2 linked regions of the Sus scrofa genome follow. The protein of the gene in region 2 purifies or fractionates together with the protein of the main gene of each other region. This does not show direct contact. Links are inferred from orthologs where the notes say so. Each region holds a gene or a part of one and is shown on either strand. Other genes may lie near its edges.

Region 1 (7,307 bases), on a different chromosome or scaffold from region 2:
GGGTAAGAATAAGTACCACACTGGGCCTTTGTTTTTAACCCTGGATTTCTTAGCTGTTGAGGAGGAAACCTATGCATGGACCTTACCCAAGTCTAGGCTCCTTTTCCTGTGTTCTATTTACAAAATGGAGAGAATGAAAGAGCTCAGGGGTCAAACAAAACACCTTTCAGTGTGAATGAGTTAGAAAGACAACCACCGAGGTCTGTGATAAACGGCAATTGTGTGATCTCAGTTTCTCTGTAAATTAATAAATAATGCTTGCCTTCTCTGCTTGAATTCCCCAGGAGAGAAACATCATCTTCAAACATAATTCGGTTGTGGAGTTTCCTTGTGGTGCAGTGACTTCAGGATCTGGCAGTCACTGCAGTGGCTCTGGCCACTGCTGTGGTGCAGGTTCCATCCCTGGCCACGGAACTTCTTCATGCCACATTACGATGCAAACTTCTGGGAGTTCCTGTTGTGGTTCGGTGGGTTAAGAATCCGACATAGTGTCTGTGAGGATGTGGGTTTGATCCTTAGCCTTGCTCAGTGCTTTAAGAATCCGGCATTGCCAGAGTTCCCGTCATGGCGCAGTGGTTAACGAATCCGACTAGGAACCATGAGGTTGCGGGTTCGGTCCCTGCCCTTGTTCAGTGGGTTAACGATCCGGCGTTGCCATGAGCTGTGGTGTAGGTTGCAGATGCGGCTCGGATCCCGCGTTGCTGTGGCTGTGGTGTAGGCCAGTGGCTACAGCTCCGATTCGACCCCTAGCCTGGGAACTTCCCATGCTGCAAACATACACAACACACATGATTCCATCACATAAATAACAAATGACTATAGACAGTTTACCTGGCATTTTCAAGCCTCAGTTTCCTTATAACAATAATGACGCAGAATAGGGGAAATTCAATGAGAAAACGTAGATGGACACCCAGCTCAGTAGGCACTAGCTCTTGGCCTTTTAAATGCTCTGGCTGCAGACATGTTTCAGTCCACCAGGTGGTGGTGACCTGCTGCCCCTGAGCAGGAGAGATGGCCTGCACATGCCCACTGCAGACATGGCTGGACTTATTTTTGGCTACACCCACGGTATGCCTAAGTTCCAGGGTCAGGGATTGAACCCACATGGCAGTCACAATGCTGGACCCTTAACCCAGGGAGCCACCAGGGAACTCTGAGGTTGGATTTTTTCATCTCCTTCCACCCCGAAATTATTTCAGTCTTTTTTCCACCATCGACAGTATAAAACTGCTTGGGTGGGAGGTGGGGTGGAGGGTATATAAACACTGGCGTGAGTGGAGGGAGATGACTAGCCCAGTGGGTACAGAACAGGCCTTTAGATGCCCTAGGAACCTCCTTGTAGAGTAGTCACATTGGCCCAAGCTGGCCAAGAGGAAGCTACACATCATCTGTTCTCATTAGCTTGACCTTTCGGTACCTAGCTATGTGTACTCTGGCAGAGGAGGTATTAAACTCTTATGGCCTGAGATAAAAAGGTAGGTGAGATGGCAGTGGCTTTTAATACCAGTTGCTCCCACTCTCTAGAATGTGCAGAGGGCTACACATTCTCAAGCACGGGTGACTGTCACCAGGGAATACGTGGCAATGTCTGTGGGAGTGGAAGATTACTAGTGACATCTAGTGGGCAAGGGCCAGGGATGCTGCCAAACATTCTACAATATACAGAGCAGCCCCCACAGCAAAGAATTATCCAGCCCACAATGTCAAGAGTGCTGAGGTTGAGAAATCCTGTTCTAGTAACACCTCAATGATTTGGTCTGCACAAGACATTCTGAACTACCAGAAATCACCTAGTGGAGGTGATGGCTTTTCCACGGCTTCCTTGTGAAAAGTTCGAAAAACTATTAACCACTCTAATGATGCTTCATTCAAGTATTAGCTGGGTACCTAGGAAGAATCACACTCTTTCTTTCACTTGGGTATCTATATATGTATTTATTAGGATGCTCACAGGAATGACACATTAGCACGGTTCTTCTGATGTGATAGAAAATACATACATCTGACCCACATTGTGGCGGGAAATCGGCATAAGGGCCCTCAGACCTGGTACCTAGTGTCCACTGAAGAAATCTCTTCACCAAAGAAAGGATGTTTTCTCGGATTTTATCATCTCTGCTGTAGCTTCCATTCAGTTCTCCCTGACTGGCCCAGAATCCTTCATTCCAGAATCTCTTGCCATGCCTTCAAGACCAAGGTCAATTATCCCAGGTCCCACCCACCCAGGCTGCCTCTGGAATTCTGCAGCGCATCTCTTTGGTATGCTGCTGCCCTGCCACCCTCAGGGGCACAGGTGGGAGGTGGGGTGAAATATAACATCACGTTACCAAAAGCAAACAGTAGGGGTACATTAGCAAATAACACTTAGGACATATACCCAACAATCACACAGAATACATGCTTCCTCCCCAAATGATACATAATGCCCTAGAGAGCAGAGGAAACCCCTCAATCGTTCAAACATGTCTGCAGTGATTCTGTATACCAGGCACAAAGGATACAAAGTGGGATCAACTCTGCACAGTAGGAAGTTGGTGCCTGAAAGCTGGAACCAAACCTCTTATCTGGGCTCTTCCCTGCCTTTGAATGGTGTCACCACCCTGCTTCCAGCTGTTCTGGGCATTAGCTCACCATCCAAAAGGGAGGATGAGATGACAGAGAGGGGAGGGGAGATAAGGAAAAGGGGTGGGGAAGGGATGACAACCTATAAAACAAGACAAAAACAAATCAAAAACTAGATTTAGCACTACAATATTTTATAACAACAGAAGGCAGCTGGAAATACTACATGCTAACAGACAATATGATACACAAGCCCTGGGGGAGGAGCCAGGAGGGAGTGTGGCAGAGGCCACCTGTTTAGACTAAGAGCCGTTCGATGGACTGCTGGATGGACTGGATCTGCTGCTTCAGCTGTGAGCCTTCTTTGATGGTGACAGAACAGGCGATGACAGGCCTGGAGACCCCACAGGCTCGCCCCAGGGCCTGCTTGGAGCGCACGAACACATAGGGCACGTTCTTGTCCTCACACAGCAGTGGGAGGTGCAGGATAATCTCCAGGGGCTCCGCGTCTGCAGCCATCACAATGAACTCAGAGATGCCTCTGTTGAGGGTTTTGGTGGCTGTGGAGAGAAGGACATTAGGCTCACAGGTGATGTGGGGTTGGGGCAGGGAATTTCCGAGGAAAAGAAATAAGAAAACGGGGCAAAATTTCCAGGACTAAGCACTTCTCTGTGTCCTGTGTGGCCTTGGGAAGTGACAGGGATTCAAGCACCAATTTAGTCATCCCCAACGCCTTTCTCAAACCCAACACCAAACCCATCAATTCTGTCAAAACACATCCTGAATCAGACCCCTTTCCCATCCTCTGCTACCACACGTATCCAAGTCACCACCGTCTCTTGCCTGGTTGACGGGAACAGCGTTCACACAAGCCCCGCCAGCATGAAGCAGTGTGATAGAGCACATCTGAAACTCTTAAAGATCAGGGGCTTTACCAGCCCCATCTGCCAAGATCAATAAATCTGGAAAGCTTATACCACATGCAACTCACCAAGCAAATTCAACACCCTACAGCACTGTTCACCTGCTTACGCCTGATTGCTTATCTCTGTGACCCAGTGCCAGCCCAAGGATTACCACTTGCTGCTCTTAAGTTCTCGCACTGGTCCCCATGAAGACCATCCAGCCTTCTTTCCATGTTGGAAATCTAGTCCAGAGACCCCCGACAGGAACAGTGGGTGCGCTTAACACGCTTCCTGGAGCACCCTCTGCTTGCCTTACCCTCATTGGCTCCTTTTCGAAGCTGCTTGTAGTTACATGACTGCTGAACAAGGTCCAATAGTTTCTTGGTGAGGTGGGCATCTGCAAGAGGGTAGGCCTTCGGATTTACATCAGCCTCAGTCTATGGGGAGGGGAATCAAAGCATGAGTCAAACTGAACCAGAAGTTGTTCTAGACAAGTCACAAATACTTTAATCAACAATTGAGATGGCACGACACTGTAAATCAACTATACTTTAATAGTAATTTTTGACAAATTGAGATAATGGTCATCTTCCCTGTTCCCTCATTCCCAAACACATTTAATAACTGACACATTCTCAACTGAGAAAAACTAAAATATTATGCTAATTTTTTTAGCATTTACATAGTCTAATAATATATTCTGAAGCTTATGTACCTTTGCCTCTTTAGCCTAATGCGAGGTAATATTATAGCAAATGGATTATAACATGCTTCCATGGCTCAGAACCCCTTTCAGTCACGCGGGGCCAATCTTGAAATTTGGGTTTGCATGTTTCACCCCGAATTTACTAAACCTAAATTAATGTATCATTTATAGAAACCTAGCACAAAATTCTACTTCCTTCCATATTTGAATCTTCTGTATTCATTAAGAATCCTGATTTCTGGAGTTCCCGTTGTAGCTCAGCAGATACGAATCTAACTAGTATCCATGAGGATGCAGGTTTGATCCCTAGCCTTGCTCAGTGGGTTAAGGATCCAGCCTTGCTGTGGCTGTGGTGTAGGTTACAGACATGGCTCAGATCTGGTGGTGTGGCTCTGGTATAGGCTGGCAGCTTTAGCTTGGATTTGACTCCTAACCTGGGACTCTCCATATGCCATGGGTGCAGCCCTAAAAGAGAAAGAGAGAAAAAAAAAAAAAGAATCCTGGTTTCCAAAACATCAAAAATTTTCTCATTTATTTTACACTATAATACATATAAAATGATTTCAGAAATTGCTATACCAATACTACCTCCACCAACTACCAACCCACCAGGGTGAAAATTTCTCTTTATTTTTAGAATATATCTGACTAAAGCCATCCAGTCAGAGTATTATATTCAAAAGTTATTCAAATAATTTTTTCCTTGTGGTTATCAATGTGATATACAATTAGGGTTCCTTTGTATTCAGATTGCTTTAAAAAATTCTTAAAAATTAAAAAGTCTACGTGGTTCTAAAATCAAGCTAACAGTGCTTAAAAGAATGATTCAATTAAACATCATCATCTTGCAACCCACACTAACTAGTTAATTAAACCAGATAAATAGATTCAGACATTGATATTACTACCAACGTCACAAAAGATACCATGTGACCACGGCCCCTCCTAAAGAACAAAACATCCATGATCAAGCAGTGGGGTGGGGGCAGTAGCTAAGAAAAAAAATCTGATCTAGCCTTTGATTCTAACACTAGATATTTGATATTAGGGAATTATTAAATTTGGGGCTATTGCATGGGAACAAAAATCCTTATTTTGTAGACATATACTGTAATACCTATGGATAAAATGCTACCTCATTGGATCTCTTTCAAAATAATATGCGTATGGTAAAAAAAGAGTGGCGCCCAGCCTTTTCCATTCCTTCCCAACTACATTTTCACCTCCGACTTCAACCATTTTTATTAATTTCTCATTTGCTTTCCCTGTAATTCCTTTTACAAATATTTATTTCTATTTCCAACTGCAGCCCCGGTTACTACCCCTGAGCACCGATCAGTTCGCCCGCAGTGATGCGGTCTAACGACGGGTTTGGAGGAGGTAACCGCGGCACGCGGCACGCGGCTCCGCGGTTCCAGGCGGTAACCCGCGGGTGATGGCCGGGTAGGAATATTTACCATTTGGTCTGCCTCGGTGTCGCCTGCCTGGTCTCTGGCTGGTCTCCGGCCCGATGCCCGATACCCGATACCTCAAGAACAGAAAAACTACCACCCGCAGAGCAGCGGGAAGTGACGTCAGAGTGACGTCAGCGGAAGTGACGCCAGGAACCTGCGGCACCAAGGCACCCAGTCCCTAACACCAACAGAGTGACTGTCACGGTCTCAGCCTGGTGAGGACTGGAGGAGTTTCATGAAGAAGAGGGGGGAGACCTCTTATTATCTGTTCTTCATATTTTCTAGAATCCGTTTTTCAAGGTCCACAAAAAACACCTGCTGGGAAGTCTGATTTGTAGATTGAAATAATCCCAATTTAGGTAAAAACCTCTTTAGGATACAGAATCCGTCAATGCATTTAAACATATTTACTTAACCCTTTAGTGCTCTTAACTAAAGTGTTATTTCTAGAAAAATTTTAATATCTTTTAGGCTTACTTCTAGATATTTTGGATTAAGAAAATTTATTTTATTTTATTCCCTGGTGTACTAAGAATTTCTTTTATATATGAATTGGTGTTGAACTCGACCAGATTTTTTGTAGAGTTGGATGAACAAGACTTTTAAATTTTTTCTGATGTTACACCATTTCTGCACTCTAGAGATAAAGCCAACTTTAAGATTTTTCTGTTTTTATTCTATAATGGACATGTTTTCTTTTTGAGATAAAATACCCTAAAATTTAATAAATGATGGTTGCACAATTCTGTAAATATACAAAAACCCCGCTGTTAAACACTTTACTTTTTCCTATTACCACCTTTTTTTTTTTTTTTTTGGCAATTTCTTGGGCCGCTTCCGCGGCATATGGAGGTTCCCAGGCTAGGGGTCTAATTGGAGCTGTAGCCACCCGCCTACGGCAGAGCCACAGCAACGCGGGATCCGAGCGGCGTCTGCAAACTACACCACTGCTCACGGCAACACCGGATCATTAACCCACTGAGCAAGGCCAGAGATTGAACCCGCAACCTCATGGTTCCTAGTCAGATTCGTTAACCACTGCGCCACGACGACGGGAACTCATCTTTTTTTTTTTAAACTGACACAAATAAACACACACAAAAACTGACATAGGATTGACTTACAACATTAAGTTAGTTTCCAAAGCACACTATTATTTGATACATTATCAATTTAAATAGCAGAACTTTATGGTGTGCAAAATTATCTCAATACATTTTTTAAAGTAGGTGTAAAATAAATAAAAACAAAAGTAGGTGTGAAGTTTTTTATGTCAAAAAAATTTGTTTCTTACTAAGTTATAATTAACACACAATATTAGTTTCTTTACTATTATCCAGCTTTCCTATTTCTACTTGAACTGCTTTTGAGTATTTTTTCAGGTATTTGTTCATTTCATATAAGTTTCCATATTTATAGGTATCATGTTATTCATATAGCTTTTCTTTGTAATATCTGCAGATTATGTCTCAGGTTTATCACTCCTTATTTATTTCTTTTGATTAATCTCAGTGGAAAAGGCTTTTCAAAAGATTCTTCTGATTTTGTCCACCCAATAACAGGATCTATTTTCCAGTTCAGTAATTTCTGCTTTTATTTGTTCTCCCTTTTCTCTCCTTTCTTTCATGTTATTCTGTCCTTTTGTTCTTTCCCTAGCTTTTTAGTGTCTACCTCCCC
Region 2 (8,051 bases):
TGCTGTGGCTCAGATTCGATCCCTGACTGGGGAACTTCCATATGCTGTGGGTGCGGCTGAAAAAGAAAAAAAAAAAAAAGATCTCACTTGATGAAAACTAGTCAATAATAAATGTGCTAAAGTTTTGGTAAAGGTCCATTATAGCCATACTCATGCCTTTCTGTGGTGTCAAGGACGAAAACCTACAGCTTTTAATAGTTCGTTGTAATTTAACTGTTTAAAACACAACAGGTTTCAAAACTCTGACTGTGCCAAGAGTTGTTTCGCTCTAGTCTCCTGCTCCCTCTGCCGTCCACGGCCCGCATAGCCGCCGTGACTGGGCTTTGCAAAACAAAAACCACATCTTGGCAGCCCCCTGCCCAAATTCCTTCAAAGGTTTTCCATCACCTTCCAAGGGAAATCAAAATTCTTTTCTCCAGTTTTCAAAGCCCTAAATCAGTGGGTCCCACCCTTGCTCGATCCTGTTATCCAGAGATTCTGATGTAATTGTCTGGGGTGGGGGCTTGGGCAGGGGGCCTTTTCAAGTTCCCCAGGTGACTACTGTGTGCAGCCCAAAAGGAGAACCACCTCCACCACGCTCGCTTTGGCTGACTTTTCTGACCTCGCTCTAAGTTGGGTTCCTTGCTCTTCCTCCCCAAGAAGGAACTCACTCTCCAGTTTCTAAATGTGTCTCCTGTTCCCTGGGTCCTGAGGACAGGTGCTTGACTTGCCCCCTCCACTGCAGTCAGGCCTCTGAGCAAACGCTGCTTCCTCAGAAGGGCCTTCTCGGGCTACCTGACCTGTACTCTGCTGTTTCTTAGCAAGGATCACACGTGACATTTGAGAAATTACTACTGCCTGCCTCCCCCACTAGAATCAAGCTGCGAATGGACAGGGATGTCTGTTTGGATCATCACTATACCCACAGCACCCTGCACAGCATTTGGCACAAAGTATGGGCTCAATAAATATTTTTATTTATTTAAAAAAAATTTTATGGCTGTACCCAGGGCCTAGGGAAGTTCCAGGGACCGAATTGGAACTGCAGCTGCAGCATCGCCAGACCCTTTAACTTACTGTGCTGGGCTGAGGATCCAACTCGCACCTCTGCAGCAATCTGAGCTGCTGCAGTCTTCACCCACAGCTCCAAATAATTCTTTCTCTTTTTCTTTCTTTTTGGCCAGGCTGGCAGCGTGGGGAAGAAGTGCCTGGGCCAGGGATCAAACTAAAGCCACAGCAGAGATAATGCTAGACCCTTAACCCCGCTGGGGATCAATATTAAAGGAGCTGTCTGCTGATGACTTCAGCCCCTGGGTTTCTGTCTCCTGAAGAAAGCACCCTCTCTGTCCATTCAGGAGGCAGGTGATCAGATGGTGACCAGAGCCCGGGTCCCTCCCCTCAAGCAGCTCCTGTGCTGAATACAGGGAGATGGCCACGCCATTCATAACCCTAGAGAGGAGGGAAGGTTCAGGCAAGTCTTGAAAAAGTCACTGGCAAGATGGAGATGGAACTTACACAGTGCCCACCTCATAGAGTCATAAAGATTAAATGACAGTACCCACAAAGCACTTCACTTAATACACTGCCTGGCACACCATCTGAATACATTATTCAAACTCAGGGGAATAAATCCCTCCTCCTCCCTACTTAGGGGAGAAGCCACTGGGTGTAAAGACTGGTAACCCAGGCCCCAGGCCCGGCATGGGCCACAGTGGATCCAGTCAATACTCAAAATACAGCCTTTTTTTTTTTTTTTAAATTACAAGGCCACATGTATTAAAACAGTTCAAACAGATCTAACAATAACAATAACAAAATTCCACTCATAGCGATTATAAAGGGGATTTATGCCATAACCCCAGATGTCTCCTTTTTAAATCACTTGCATTCAGCAAGCACTGTGAGGAAATATGTCTTAATCCATTTCAGGTCCTGGGTTCTTAGAAAGATGCACTGAACAACACACACATTCACACACCTTTTTCTAGAAGTTTTGGGTGGATGGTCCACAGACCCCCAGTTTAAACTGCTCTCCACCTCGGGCCTTCTCCCTCTCAAAGATGGCACCTCCACCCCTCCAGTTACACACGCCCAAACCCTCAGTTGTCCTTGACCCTTCTCTCACACCTGCATACAAGCTGTTGGCTCTATCTTCAAAATATGTTCCCAAATGGTGACAATTTGTCAGCCAGGTCCACTGCTACCACCCTGGCCTAAGCCATATCATCTCCTAGTAGATGACAGCAACCAACTTCCCACTGATGAGTCTGCTTTCATTCTTTTTTTTTTTTTTTTTTTTTTGTTGTTGTTGTTGTTGTTGCTATTTCTTGGGCCGCTCCCGCGGCATATGGAGGTTCCCAGGCTAGGGGTCCAATTGGAGCCGTAGCCACCGGCCTACGCCAGAGCCACAGCAACGTGGGATCCGAGCCGCGTCTGCAACCTACACCATAGCTCACGGCAACGCCGGATCGTTAACCCACTGAGCAAGGGCAGGGACCGAACCCGCAACCTCATGGTTCCTAGTCGGATTCGTTAACCACTGCGCCACGATGGGAACTCCTCCTGCTTTCATTCTTGTTCCCCTAAAGTCTTTTTTCTTTTTTGGTTTTTAGGGCTGCACCCGTGGCATATGGAAGTTTCCAGGCTAAGAGTCCAATCCGAGCCACAGCTGCTGGCCTACACCACAGCTCACGGCAATGCTGGATCCTTAACCCACTGAGCGAGGCCAGGGATCGAACCCACATCCTTGTGGATACTAATCAGATTCGTTTTCCGCTGCACCACGACAAGAACTCCCCCTCCTAAAATCTTTTATACACAGAAGCAGGAAGGATCCTTTTAAATGTCTCAGTCAAGTCTGACTGACATCATGTCTCGGTTCAGAATCTCCCAAAGGCTTCTTCTCTCAACCAGATTAAACTCCTTGCTAAAGAGCTGACTCCTGACAATTTCTACAACTTTACAGCCTAATACAGCGAAGGAGGGGTTGGAAGGAAGGTGTATCTTGCGCCACTCCTGGGGTAATCAGACCACAGGATGCTTGCAGGCATACCAGGGTCTCATGGAGACACCCTCCTGGCACTTCTCATTCCACAAGTAGATCCCCAAACACTGAAGAAGAGAAAGGGAACTTGGGAGGCAGCATGGACCCACAAAACAGCCTCCCCCTCCCCCCGACACCTCCAGATGACCCCATCCCTCCACAGGCTGGGGTCAGGGGGGACTGGAAAGGAAGAAAAAAAAAAAACAAAAACTTTTGGTCAGGATAGAAGATTTCCCCAACTCCAAGGGAACCAAGTTACAGGGAGGGGCTTGGCCTGACTTAGGAAGAAGGACCATAATCTCATTTCCCTTAAGAAGATAACAATTGGAGCCAATACTATTATATGTCAAGGGCTGTGCTATATGAGATACAGTTGACATAATATAACGTTGTGTAAGTTCAAGGCATACAACCTGTTGATTTGATACTGGTATATTGTGAAATGACTGTCAGCAGGTGCTGATTTTTTTCTTTTTTCCGTCTTTTTGCCTTTTCTAGGGCAGCTTCCCGCAGCATATGGAGGTTCCCAGGCTAGGGGTCTAATCGGAGCTGTAGCCACCGGCCTACACCAGAGCCACAGCAACGCGAGATCCGAGCTGCGTCTGCAACCTACACCACAGCTCACGGCAACACCGGATCCTTAACCCACTGAGCAAGGGCAGGGATCGAACCCGCAACCTCATGGTTCCTAGTCGGATTCGTTAACCACTGCGCCACGATGGGAACTCCCGGTATTTCTTCTTAACATGATTTCACTAAATTAGAGCTGGGTGCCATTTTTCATTGATGAGATAACAGAGGCTCAGAGAGAGAAAGTCACTTACTTGCTCCAGATCACACAGTAAATTAAGCATAGTGAGGACTGAAACTTTGAACGGAGGCTCTTCTGCTGTCAAAGCCTGTACTCTCATCATTAGACCAAGAGGGAGATGCACTGGGTTCATCAAAATCTCGAGTAAGATCGGAATGGATAAAAACACTCATGCTCCGTGATTACGCGCCCCCCCCCCCACTTTAATCCTATACTGGGCTGTCAAGTTTCATCTCATCTCTCATCAGCACTAGGCCCAGGATCTCCATCCTCAGGGACCCGCCCCTCTCTGGTAAGTGGAGAGCGGGAAAATGGGCCAGAGAGACTACCAAGCCGGGAGAATCCATCCATGCCGGCCCTCTCCGAGAAGCTGGGTGTTGGGGCCAAGGGTACCGCAGTAGCGGTGGCGACACAGGAGCATACCTGGTCCTCTCAGACCCAGCTTTCGGACCCCCGAATCAGCGACTCTCCGCCTCCGAACCAGGACAAATTCCCAAATCCCACACCCAGAGATCCGAGACCCTAGATGCCTGGATCTGGATTCTGGGTTAGTATTCGCGATTGCTGCCGCCGGGCCAACATCCAAGACCTCTAACGACAGCTTCAATGAAACGAATCCCAGGTCAAGACACAACCCTCCTCAAGCCCACGCCAAAGACCCTCGACCCACGACTGTGACCTCGGGAAAGCCAGTCACAAAGCTCCAGACCAGGAACCCGAACCCCGGGCTCAAGTTCAATCACCATGCAAAAGCGAGCCCCCTTCACCCACACCGGAGAGCGGAACCAAGACCCCCCTCCCCACAAGAGACCGGATCCGGGGCTCAGAACTCCTGCCTCCAGGCCAAGACCACCATACCCCTTCGTTCCGGACTGGCACCCCGATCCCCACCAGGCCCCAGTCCCAGACCCCCGATCCCAACCCCGGCCCGTACCTGGTTTCATAGCGAGCACAGAGGTTCGCTACTCAGTAATCTGAGGCTCTTTCGACTCCACGCGTCCCGGGTTTACGCACGTGGAAAGGAGCGCAGGCGCGCGGCGACGTGCGGCGCGTGACGCAAGCACGCAGACCCCATCCTTCGGAGCCACAGCCCCGCCCATGGCTTGTGTGCGCGCTGTGGGCGGGGATTCCCGAGCCCCTCCCGGTACCGCCTCTTCGACCGCCGCTGGCACCGCCTTTCCTGTGCAGCGCTTGCTGCCTGAACACTCTTCCCGCTTCCTCTCCACCTGTGCAAGCACCCCAGTAATCAGGTCTCCAAACCTTCGCACGGGCTACCCTAGCTCCTCTTCTCTATTCCTGATTAACTCCCTAAGTTTCCCTCTACACCTCAAAGCCTTCCCTAATCCATTTTCACCCCCAAGAACAAGGGCCAACTCTGGACTCGCATTCATACATTTGAAAAGCACTAATTATGCGCCTGAATGTACGAAGCACTGTTCTAGGCTTTGGAAATATGGCAGAGAACAAGACAGACACATCCCCACCCTCCTGGAGCTCATCTTGCAGTGGGGGAAACAAACAGCAAACGAGTTAGTAAAAATCATTGTTGAATGATAGTTAGTAAAAATCATTGTTGAATGATAGAAGGCTGTAAGTGCTTTGGAGAAAATAGCAGGGAGGGAATAGGGACTGGTGTTGGGAGTGGGGGACAGTGTGTGAAATTTCTTACCCGGTGGTCAGGGAGCCCATCTGGTGATTTTTGAGCAAAGAGCGAAAGAAGATGAGGAGGGAGGCATGTTCTATCTGCGGGAAGAGAACGCAGGCAGCAAGGGTTGCAGGTGCCAAGGCCCTGAAGCAGGAAAGGTAAGGAGGGTTGCAGAAACAGTGAGGGATGTGGTCGGGGCAGAGTAATCTTGGGGAGAGGGGGAGGAGATGAGGGTAGGGAGGTCGACAAAGCAAATTGTATGGAGCTTTAGGGTGATAATTTTGGCTTTTACTCTGAGAGAGAAAGAGGTTCCTGAACAAAGAAGGGATATAATCTCACTTGGGTCGCCTGGCTGTATGTGGGAAACTGAGTGAAGGAATAGGTTTGGGAGACCAATGAGGGCCCTGCTGCAATGGATCATGATGCAGGCAGAGGAAGGGGTGAGGAGTGAGCAGATTCTGCCTAAGTATTGAGAAATTTGTGCTTTGTAATTTTATAACTTGAATATGCATCCTATATATTTGTTCCTCAGAACAAAACAAGTGGGAGTTCCCGTTGTGGCGCAGTGGTTAACGAATCCGACTAGGAACCATGAGGTTGCGGGTTCGATCCCTGCCCTTGCTCAGTGGGTTAAGGATCCAGCATTGCTGTGAGCTGTGGTGTAGGTTGCAGACGTGGTTCGCATCCCAAGTTGCTGTGGCTCTGGCGTAGGCCGGTGGCCACAGCTCTGATTCGACCCCTAGCCTGGGAACCTCCATATGCCGCGGGAAGCTGCCCTAGAAAAGGCAAGAAGACAAGACAAGACAAAAACAAAAACAAAAAAGTGGCATTGGAGTTCTCTTGTGGCTCAGCAGGTTAAGGATCCCAAGTTGTCAGTGCAGCGGCTCAGGTCACTGCTGTGGCTTGGGTAAAAAGCAAATACAATACAATGTAATACAATACAATACAATACAGAAAAAGAAAAAATAAAAAAAGAGTGGTACTATGAGAAGTTATTAACAACCTCCAGGAGAATCCATTGGTCTGTCCTGTTCCTTGTTGTGTCACTTTATACCTAGAACAACCTGGCACAGTGGGTGCTCGGCTAATTTATGTTGAATGAACCTATGCTGTCTTTTTTTTTTTTTTTTTCTTTTCAGGGCCACACCTGCAGCATATGGAAGTTCCCAGGCTAGGGGTAGAATCAGAGATGCAGCCACCGGCCTTCACCACAGCCACAGCAACACCAGATCCGAACCGCATCTACAACCCACACCACAGCTCATGGCAATTTTGGATCCTTAACCCACTGAGCAAGGCCAGGGATCGAACTTGCATCCTCCTGGATACTAGTGGGGATCATTACCTCTGAGCTATGATGGGAACTCCAGAACCTATGATATCTTGAGTTCTCTGTGCGGGGATTCCAGCCGCACAGTAACTTTCCTGAAATTTTTTAAAAATGTTAAGATGGAACATCTGCTGAGTCTATGCTGGATTTCCAGGAGCTTTGTAATAATTTGAAAGGCTTCAATTCAGGATAAACCTACTACTTAGGGATTTTATTGTTGCCTTCCCATTAAAAATAATTTTTTTTCTAAAGAAGGAAAATACTCAACAGACTGTATTCTGGAATCCTGGCACCATCTCCTGGCTCTGATACATTTCACCTGCTAACTGGCACTGCAGACCTGAAGTTGGCACTACCAGTGAATAATTGGTGGTGGGGGGGATCCCTGCTGGTTTTGTGCTGGGGACACAATGGTGACTGAAAGAGACCAGTTTTCCTGGAGCTGCCAGGCCAGTGAGGGAGACAGACAGACTGGTCCCTGGACAGGGGCAGCTGTAGAGAGAACAGGGCCAGGATGGGGGAGAAATAGGCAGAATGGTCAGGGATGGGATAGGGGAGGCACTGAGGGCTTTTCCAGATGTTCCCTATATCTTCAGATCCCTCTGCCTTTTTTTTTTTTTTTTTTTTTTTTTTTTTTTTTTTTTTTAGGGCTGCACTCGCGGCATATGGAGGTTCCCAGGCTAGGGGTTGAATCGGAGCTACAGCTGCCAGCCTATGCCAGAGCCACAGCAAAGGGGGATCCAAGCCGTGTCTGCCACCTATACCACACCTCACAGCAACACCAGATGCTTAACCCACTGAGCGAGGCCAGGGATCGAACCTGCAACCTCATGGATACTAGTTGGGTTCATAACCCACTGAACCACAACAGGACCTCCCTCTGAACCTTCCTTTTACCTGGCTGCTCTGACCACAGCCTAGCTCTCCCCTGAAGATGTGTCTTTCCATGCAGCCCTTCTAAGCAGAGGCTTCTCCTCAGCCTTCGTGCCCACTGGGCCTGTTGAAAGGATAAGACCCTCTGTGTTTCTCGTGGCCACTTCTAAACCATTCTCTGCCTCCTCCCTCAGCCCCTAACTTGGAAGTTTATCCACAGCCCCTGCTCCCATTCTTCTTACCCGCACTATCAACTCCCAGGTGACTGCAGCTCACTGCATCTTTTTAGCTCCAGGTTCACTGCCACCTGAGCCGCTCTCCTCATGATTCTTGGCGATTTCCAAAACCAGAGAGATGATCCTTTGACCAG

Evidence for each region.
Region 1: the proteins of FBL (region 2) and SNU13 purify together in Homo sapiens (affinity purification with mass spectrometry; 5 studies listed by BioGRID and IntAct, with this or other methods). This does not show direct contact. The link is inferred for Sus scrofa from reciprocal best matches to the Homo sapiens genes FBL and SNU13.

The regions. Positions count from the first base shown.
Region 1 is NC_010447.5:6,894,632-6,901,938, reverse strand, and holds the end of SNU13 (NHP2-like protein 1), read right to left. Parts: intron 5,772-7,307; exon of another isoform or gene 5,637-5,771; coding exon of another isoform or gene 5,634-5,636; intron 3,908-5,633; coding exon 3,787-3,907; intron 3,126-3,786; coding exon 2,863-3,125; 3' UTR 1,913-2,862; downstream 1-1,912.
Region 2 is NC_010448.4:48,321,538-48,329,588, forward strand, and holds the start of FBL (rRNA 2'-O-methyltransferase fibrillarin), read right to left. Parts: upstream 4,897-8,051; 5' UTR 4,778-4,896; coding exon 4,768-4,777; intron 1-4,767.